Linked DNA regions of Sus scrofa. The protein of the gene in region 1 binds, or shares a complex with, the protein of each later gene. Links are inferred from orthologs where the notes say so. Each region holds a gene or a part of one and is shown on either strand. Other genes may lie near its edges.

Evidence for each region. The genes of interacting proteins can lie anywhere in the genome.
Region 2: MYBBP1A (region 1) and DEK share a complex: the UniProt entries of both Homo sapiens proteins name them as parts of the B-WICH complex. The link is inferred for Sus scrofa from reciprocal best matches to the Homo sapiens genes MYBBP1A and DEK.

What each region holds. Positions count from the first base shown.
Region 1 is NC_010454.4:50,503,174-50,507,449, reverse strand, and holds the start of MYBBP1A (myb-binding protein 1A), read left to right. Parts: upstream 1-1,373; 5' UTR 1,374-1,422; coding exon 1,423-1,629; intron 1,630-1,847; coding exon 1,848-1,946; intron 1,947-2,599; coding exon 2,600-2,683; intron 2,684-2,771; coding exon 2,772-2,846; intron 2,847-2,947; coding exon 2,948-3,055; intron 3,056-4,276. UniProt on the Homo sapiens protein: May activate or repress transcription via interactions with sequence specific DNA-binding proteins. Repression may be mediated at least in part by histone deacetylase activity (HDAC activity).
Region 2 is NC_010449.5:13,904,461-13,908,110, reverse strand, and holds part of DEK (protein DEK), read left to right. Parts: intron 1-67; coding exon 68-203; intron 204-514; coding exon 515-663; intron 664-3,650. UniProt on the Homo sapiens protein: Involved in chromatin organization.

The DNA of each region.
Region 1 (4,276 bases):
TGGTCCAGGCTTCGCCCACAGATGCAGAGCTGGTGCCTGGTGATTTTTTGCTCCCCCCCTGTTCTGCTTACCTTCTGCCTCCTGAGGCACCATGTGTACAAAGTAAACTGCTTATTCACATTTTCTTTTTTTTCTTTTTGTCTTTTTGCCTTTTCTAGGGCTGCTCCCGCAGCATATGGACGTTCCCAGGCTAGAGGTCAAATCGGAGCTGCAGCTGCCGGCCTACGCCAGAGCCACAGCAACGTGGGATCCGAGCAGCGTCTGCAACCTACACCACAGCTCACGGCAACACCGGATCCCCAACCCACCGAGCAAGGCCAGGGATCGAACCTGCAACCTCATGGTTCCTAGTCAGATTCGTTAACCGCTAGCACCACAAAGGAAACTCCCAACTGCTTATTCACATTTTCTGAAACAGACAGCAGAGGGAGGGGTTGAGAGGGTGAGTAGGAGGTGCCCCGGGGGCCACAAAAGGGGCCGGATCTGGGTAGCCAAGGCCCTCCCCTCCCTGCCTCCCTAAGGGCTGGGGTCTCTCTGAACTATAACCCTCTAGAGACAGCTTGTCAAGCCAAGAAATAGGGGTGGCCAGTAGCTCTCCTCTCCTGCACTGTAAACGGTATCTCTGATCTAAGAGGACTTTTGATCCCACCACCTCTCCCTCCTTGCTCCCCCCACAAACACTAGTTCCCCCAGCTCAGTAAATGATATCACAGTCTACCCACTTTCTTTGTTTTTCTTTTTTTAGGGGCCACACCTCCAGAATATGGAAGTTCCCAGGACAGGGGTCAAATCGGAGGGAGCTGCAGCTGCCGGTCTACATCACAGCCACAGCAACGTCAGATCCAAGATGTGTCTGTGACTTAAAGCCTCCGCTTTCGGCAACACCAGATCCTTAACCCATTGGATGAGGCCAGGGACCAAACCTGCATCCTCACGGATATTAGTCAGATTCTTAAGCCACTGAGCTACAAGGGGAACTCTCACAATCTACCCACTTATTTTGGCCCCAAACCTATCATCCTTCTCTTTTTCATCACCTTCTACCAGCTCCAAATTAGCTGGAATTTTCTCATATTACCTTGGTCCAATCCACCACTGTGCAACTGGTCTTCCTGCTTCCACCCCTGCTCTCCTGCAATCCATCCCCCACACAAAGAAGACTAGTCTGCTAAAAGTATGGATAGGATCAAGACTTGTCCCTGCATAAAACCCTCCAATGACTTCCTATTACAATCAGAATAAAATCCAAACTCCTGAGCTCCCTGAGTGAGCGCGGAAGGGCCCAGCCGCCCCCGGCCCGGCCCGGCCCCGCCCTTTCCCCCGCCCCCAACCGGCTCCGCCCCCAGCCGACCCAACCCAGTGCGCACGCGCCGCGACCTGACCCGGAAGAGGCAGTCTTCAGGTCCCACGTGTTCCACGAGCATGGCGGAGACGGAGAGTATGGACGTCGCTGAGCCTGTGTCTCCGGTGGAGGTCCCGAAGACGGGCGCCGGGCCTGCCGACCGTCATGGTCTGCTGAAGCACAGCCGCGAGTTCTTGGACTTCTTCTGGGACATTGCGAAGCCGCAGCAGGAGACGCGGCTTGAGGCCACGGAGAAGCTGCTGGAGTATCTGCGCGCAAGGCCAAAGGTGTGGTGGCGGGGCCTGGGGCAGGAATCTGCGGGGCTTGGGGGCAGGAAGCTGCGTAGATCCCGGCAAAAATATGGCGGCGGGCCCCAGGACTCGGGACTGGGGTCATGGAGTCGCGAACCTGGAGGCCGAGGCGAATGCGCGCCGAAGCGCGAGGATGGGCGGGTGCCTGACGCGTCTTTTCCCTGGTGCACCTGGGGATGTGCTTGGTTCCTCAGGGATCGTCCGAGATGAAGTACGCCCTGAAGCGCCTAATCACCGGGCTCGGGGTCGGACGTGAAACAGCCCGGCCCTGCTACAGTCTGGCCCTAGCACAGGTGAGGTGGTGGCTCCCTGGAGGAGGCCAGCCATCCTACTCGGAGCGGTGGGGAGTGAGGAGGGCAGATACGGGGGAAGTGGCTGCTGAGAGGTTGTTGGGGTGGCGTCGGAGCTAATGGAGGGTGTCCCCACGTGGACGTGGAGAGAGTGTGTGAGCAAGATCTTTCTGCAGAGACGCCCAGGCAGGTGGAGTGGGAGGGTGAGTTTGCTTTTGAGTACATGGGTTCACCAACCACCAAGGTACATTTACTGTGGGCAGTAAGCTTTGGAGTGGGTTCACTTACCTTTTTAGGGTTCAGGGTCCGCCCCCCCCACTTGGCTAATTATAGGCCACCCAGTCCTTGTGGATCAGCCTGGGGGGAGCTCAGCAGGCTCTGGGGCAGAATGTCTCGGGGATCTCGGGGCACAGTCCAGGGGCTAAAGGAAGTACTTTCTGAAACAGGGAGGCAAGATTTCTCTCCATTCACTGCAGTGTTCCATCGTCAGCACTGCCCAGCATGGGGTGGGGCGTAGGCAGCTTTTGAGGCGTCCTTTGGATGGGAGCAGGGGCCCATGGACTCTGGGCAGAAGTTGAAGGGAGAAGTGGGAGGAGGTTGAGGTCTGAGGGATGTGGCTGGGCCGCTCCCCTGAGCCCCTCTCTTCCTCCTGGCAGCTGTTACAGTCTTTTGAAGACATCCCTCTCTGCAGCATCTTGCAGCAGATACAGGAGAAGTATAACCTGCAGAAGGTGAAGAAGGTGAGAATTAGTGGCCCCAGGGAAGTCGGCAGCCCCGGGGTGGGGAGCGCTTGGGCCCTTCTCACCAGTGCCTGGAATCCTTTTCCAGGGGATGATGAGACCAGCTCTCTTTGCAAACCTGTTTGGGGTGCTAGCCCTCTTTCAGTCAGGCAGGCTGGTGAAGGTAAGAGCCTTGGGGATCCCAGGGCGCGTGTGGACTAGCTTGGGAGTTGGAGGAGTGGCAGAGCCCTGTTGACACCCTGTCCCCTTCTGGGGGGGTCCCAGGACTCGGAGGTGCTGATGAAGTCGGTGAAGCTGCTGCAAGTCCTGGCTCAGCACTACAACCACCTGCAGGAGCAGCCCCAGAAGGCCCTGGTGGACATCCTTTCTGAGGTACTGGCTCACCAGCTTTGGGGCCTCTGATTGATAGCGCAGCCTGTTCCAGAACGTGGGGAAGACTCAAGTTAATGCCTGGAAGCAGGACTGTCCACAGATACATAAATGTGCACTGTGACACTTTGTAGTAACTAAGTTTAAAAAGTAAAAAGAAACAAGTATAGTTGAGTAGCATGTTTTATTTAACCTAGTATATCTGCAGTATCACTTTAGTCTGTAATCGGTATAAAAAGTTACAGAGGAGTCGTTCCAGTGTCCTGGCTCAGTGGAAATGAATCCAACTAGGAACCATGAGGGTGCAGGTTTGGTCCCTGGCCTTGCTCAGTGGGTTAAGGATCCGGCATTGCTGTGAGTTGTGGTGTAGGCTGGCAGGTGTAGCTCCAATTAGACCCCGAGCCTGGGAATCTCCATATGCTGCGGGTGTGGCCCTAAAAATACAAAGGACAAAAAAAAAAAAAAAGGTACGGAGGTAGTTGAGGAGTTCCCACCATGGCACAGAGGATTAAGAATCTGGCTGTAGCAGCTCGAGTTCCTGCGGAGGTGCAGGTTTGTTCCCCAGCCCGGTGCAGTGGATTAAAAGACCTGGCTTGCCACAGCTGTGGCTCGGTTTCAATCCCTGGCATGGGAACTTCCATATGCCACACACAGATGGCGGCCATAAAATTTTTTTCGAAAAAGATCTATAGGCCAGTAGCTGCAGCTCCATTTTGACCCCTGGCCCGGGAACAGCCCTTAAAAAAAGAAAAAAGCTGTAGAGGTATTTTATGGTTCCTCTCATGTTAAGTCTCCAAAACCCGGTATGCATTTTACACTGACAGCACGTGTCCATTCAGAATAGCGAATTCTAAGTGCTGTGTCCATGTGGGGCCAGTGGCTGCCATATTGGGTAGCAAGAGGGTGAAACCTGTTGGCCATTATTGTCTGGGTCGGAGCTGGCCCCTTCGGGGGGTCCCCACCACTCTGCTTGGGAAATGGAGGCGGACTAGGACCTAGAATCCTTTGCTGTTGGGGAAGAGGCAGGGACTGGCACGTCCCAGGCCAAGGCTTTCTTTACAGCCCCAGCCACAGAGCCAGAAGGACCCGGAGTTCGAATCCCAACTCTTCACTTGGAGCTCCTTGTATAAGAAGCAAGCTGGTCCTGGGAGTTCCCTGGTGGTTTAGTGGTTAGGACTTGGTGCTTTCACAAAGATCCTGCACCAAGCCGCTGTATGCCGCAGC
Region 2 (3,650 bases), on another chromosome or scaffold:
GTGGAGGATTAGAGGGATGGCAGTTAATCTCTCATCACTGTATGTACTTTGATTTTTTTTCCAACAGCCACCAAAAAAGACAGCCAAAAAAGAAAAACCCAAACAGAAAGCCACTTCTAAAAGTAAAAAATCTGTAAAAAGTGCTAATGTTAAAAAGGCAGATAGCAGCACCACCAAGAAGAATCAAAACAGTTCCAAAAAAGGTACGTTGGAAATGAAACATTTTCAGCAACTATAAAGATATAACTTATGTGCCGCAACGTAGTTTTAAGCCTGTGTGAAAAATAGCTAAACTGGAGGACACTGGGGGGCAGTAGTGTCCCAGTTTTTATAATTTTTCAAAATTGACAATTCCAGTGCATGTTTTATAGGTAATGTAGAGTGGTGATTTATAATTTTTTTGATCTAATCTCCTTTGAGCTTCTGGCGAATACTTACAGAATTGTTCTGTATCTTGAATGTTAATTTATTATGTACAAATATTTATTCTCATGTAATAAAATCTTACTTTTAGAAAGTGAATCTGAAGATAGTTCAGATGATGAACCTCTCATTAAAAAGTTGAAGAAACCGCCTACAGATGAAGAGTTAAAGGAAACAGTAAAGAAGTTATTGGCCAGTGCTAACTTGGAGGAAGTCACAATGAAGCAGATTTGCAAAGAGGTGATTGGGCAGATGCTGAGATCATTTTGCTTTTATTTGATCATTCTTTCACCCATCCCTCAATTCAAAGCTAGATTCTTATGTATATTCATTCATTGAACAAATGTTTATTGAACATGTCAGTTCAATAAATATTTGCCCCATTGGAGTCATTTCATAAATAACAGTAGAATGCACACAGTGACCTTTAAGGTGATACATTCCAAACTTCATAGGAAATGTTCTCGTCCTCATCTGGAAACTATTTTTATTGATGTGTCTCTAGGTTATGTTTTTAAAAGCAGAATCTTGTGGACCCCCTTATTTTCAGTGTTACTGTGTTAAATGAGATCTTGTAGATTAGGTTTTTAGCTCAAACTTCTGTGAAGCTCTTTTGTTACTTCTCAGGAAATAAAGTGATCTAATCTTGAGTATGATTCCATAGAGATTCCATATTCTAGATCAAAACTGGAAGATTTCAAAGCCTACTTTTCATAGTAAAATGAAATTGAAATTTGAAAGGTACCAAAGGGGAAATATTCTTTAAGACATTGATTATTGTTTTGTTTCCTCATTCAGCATTCACTGAGCCTCCATCAGGCACCAGGATAGATGTTAGAGGTCGAACTGCAGAAGCCGTTACTTGGCTTCAGTGGTCTTGTGGTCTCGTGGGAAGAGACAGCTGTGTAGTCACTGGAGTATTGTGTGTGAGAGCTGTGTTATAAGAGTGTGGAGGTGCCACTACCCACAGGACAGAGTACCTGCTTGGGACTAGGAGGTGGGGATCTGAAAAGGCGTCTTGGAGCTCCAGCATTCATACTGTTAAAGACTGTTGACACATCCACATAAAATAATGACTATGAGGAATAGTCATTAGTTTAATTTGGCTGAAGACTAGAGTTGGAAGGAATTCTTCGCAGAAGTTAGGAAAGAACACTGAAAGTTTCCAGATTTTACATATGACTTGTTAAAGAATTTGATTTTCTTCGGGAGGCTAATGGGGAATTGGGAGTCTGAGTAGGTTATTGAGAGCTGTTTGGCAGGGACATAACACCATCAGATTTTTTTTTTTTTTTAAGAGTCATCCTAGACACATCAAGAAGAACAGACTGGTAAAATAGGAGATGAGAGGCAAGAGAAACCCAGTTTACATCATAATCAGAGTTACAGGTTTACTATAGTCCAAGTTTGAAGTCAGGAGAGCCTAGTCACAGGTTGCTTCCTTGTGGGTAGGAAGGAAGGGCTTGGGTGCATTAATCAGAGTAGGGGATAGAACCAAAAGAAGCCTTAGTTTTTGAGGAATCGAGTTTTGCTCTAGACATTTTTAGATGGGGTTCTTGAAACATACAAGTGGGAAAAATTGTGAACAGTATAATTCTACAGGTAGGAGAGAAACCTAGACCAGCCTGTTCCTGGAAGTAAACCAGAAGTATAGGTGAGGTGGCCCAGCGAAGAAGAGGAAGGGTGAGAAAAGCAAAGGACAGAGTCCTGGAGACCATTAACAGCATCAAATTGTTGAGAAGTAATTGCTACAAAATACAAGAAATGTAGTCAGTAGTAGAAGGCAGGCCAGAGAGAGTAGTGGTTTAAAAGCCAAGTGAGCAGAGTTTCACAAAGACAGTCAGGAAGGGGTAGTGCCAAGTAGGAAAAAGTATTTGACTTTAGACAGGACAATGGCCATGGAAAGGCAGTTCACAGGAAAGAAACATAATGACCTGTAAACATGAAAACAACCTTCCCTACTCCTGAGGAAGATAGAAATGGAAAGGAAATGTTTTTGTTTATTAGCTTTAACAAAATCTTTATAAACAGTTTTCAGGGTTGGCAAGGGTAGAGGGAAATAAACTCTCATCCTTTAAGCTGTAACAACTTGGGAGAATAATTAGGTGGTATGTTAAAATTTATTTTTATTTTTAAGATTTTCGCTTTTTCTATTCTAGTTGATTTACAGTGTTCTCTCAATTTCTGCTCTACAGCAAAGTGACTCGGTCATACGTATACACACACACACACACACACATTCTTTTTCTCACATTATCCTCCATAATGTTCCATCACAAGTGACCAGATATCATTCCCTGTGCTATACAGCAGGATCTCATTGCTCATCCACTCCAAATACAATAGTTTGTTTGCATCTATTAACCCCAAACTCCCAGTCCATCCCACTCCCTCCCCCTCTCCCTTGACAGCCACACGTCTGTTTTCCAAGTCCATGAGTTACTTTCTTTTCAGAAGATAGGCTCATTTGTGCCATGTTTTAGATTCCAGATATAAGTGATATGTGGTATTTGTCTTTTTCTTTCTGACTTAATTTCACTTAGTATGAGAATTGTTGGTTCCATCCATGCTGCTGTAAATGGCATCACTTTGTTCTTTTTTATGGTGGAGTAGTATTCCATTGAATATACCACATGTTCTTAATCCATTCATCTGTCGTTGGACATCTAGTTTGTTCACATAAGAGCCGTTTTGAAGGGTGGTAAATGCAAGAGTTATTTACCCTTGGACTGAGAATTAATAGTTGAGGGAAAGTGAATGAATTAAAGCTTCTGTTTTAGTAATGAAATTGGGGGAAGATACAAGTTGGTAAAAACTCGATTTTAAGGTCAGGGAGGGAAAGCAGAAGCATGTGTTGGGCTAAGGGACAGTGCTGGGATAGGAGAAGCTGAGGTATAGGAGCCCTAAGGGTGGGTCTCTGCAGACGTAAAGGAAACGGAACTGTTGATGAATCCAGATACGAATGAACTGGTGAGAGGAACGGGTACATCAGAAAGGGGAAGGAACTCATAGTAATGGCTTCTTGGCTGAGAGCAAGAGTGTGGGACACTGGAATAAGGGGGTGAAATTGCCACTGATGAGAATGCAAGGGGACCTGATAAGAATTCCTTGGGATTTCTAGGGAGCCTTTGACTTCGAATACCATGAACTTAAAAAGGGACCATTCTTTTCAAAGTTAACCATAGGAAAGTTGGAAGTTGGTAGTTAGACCAATTCCGGGTTGGAAT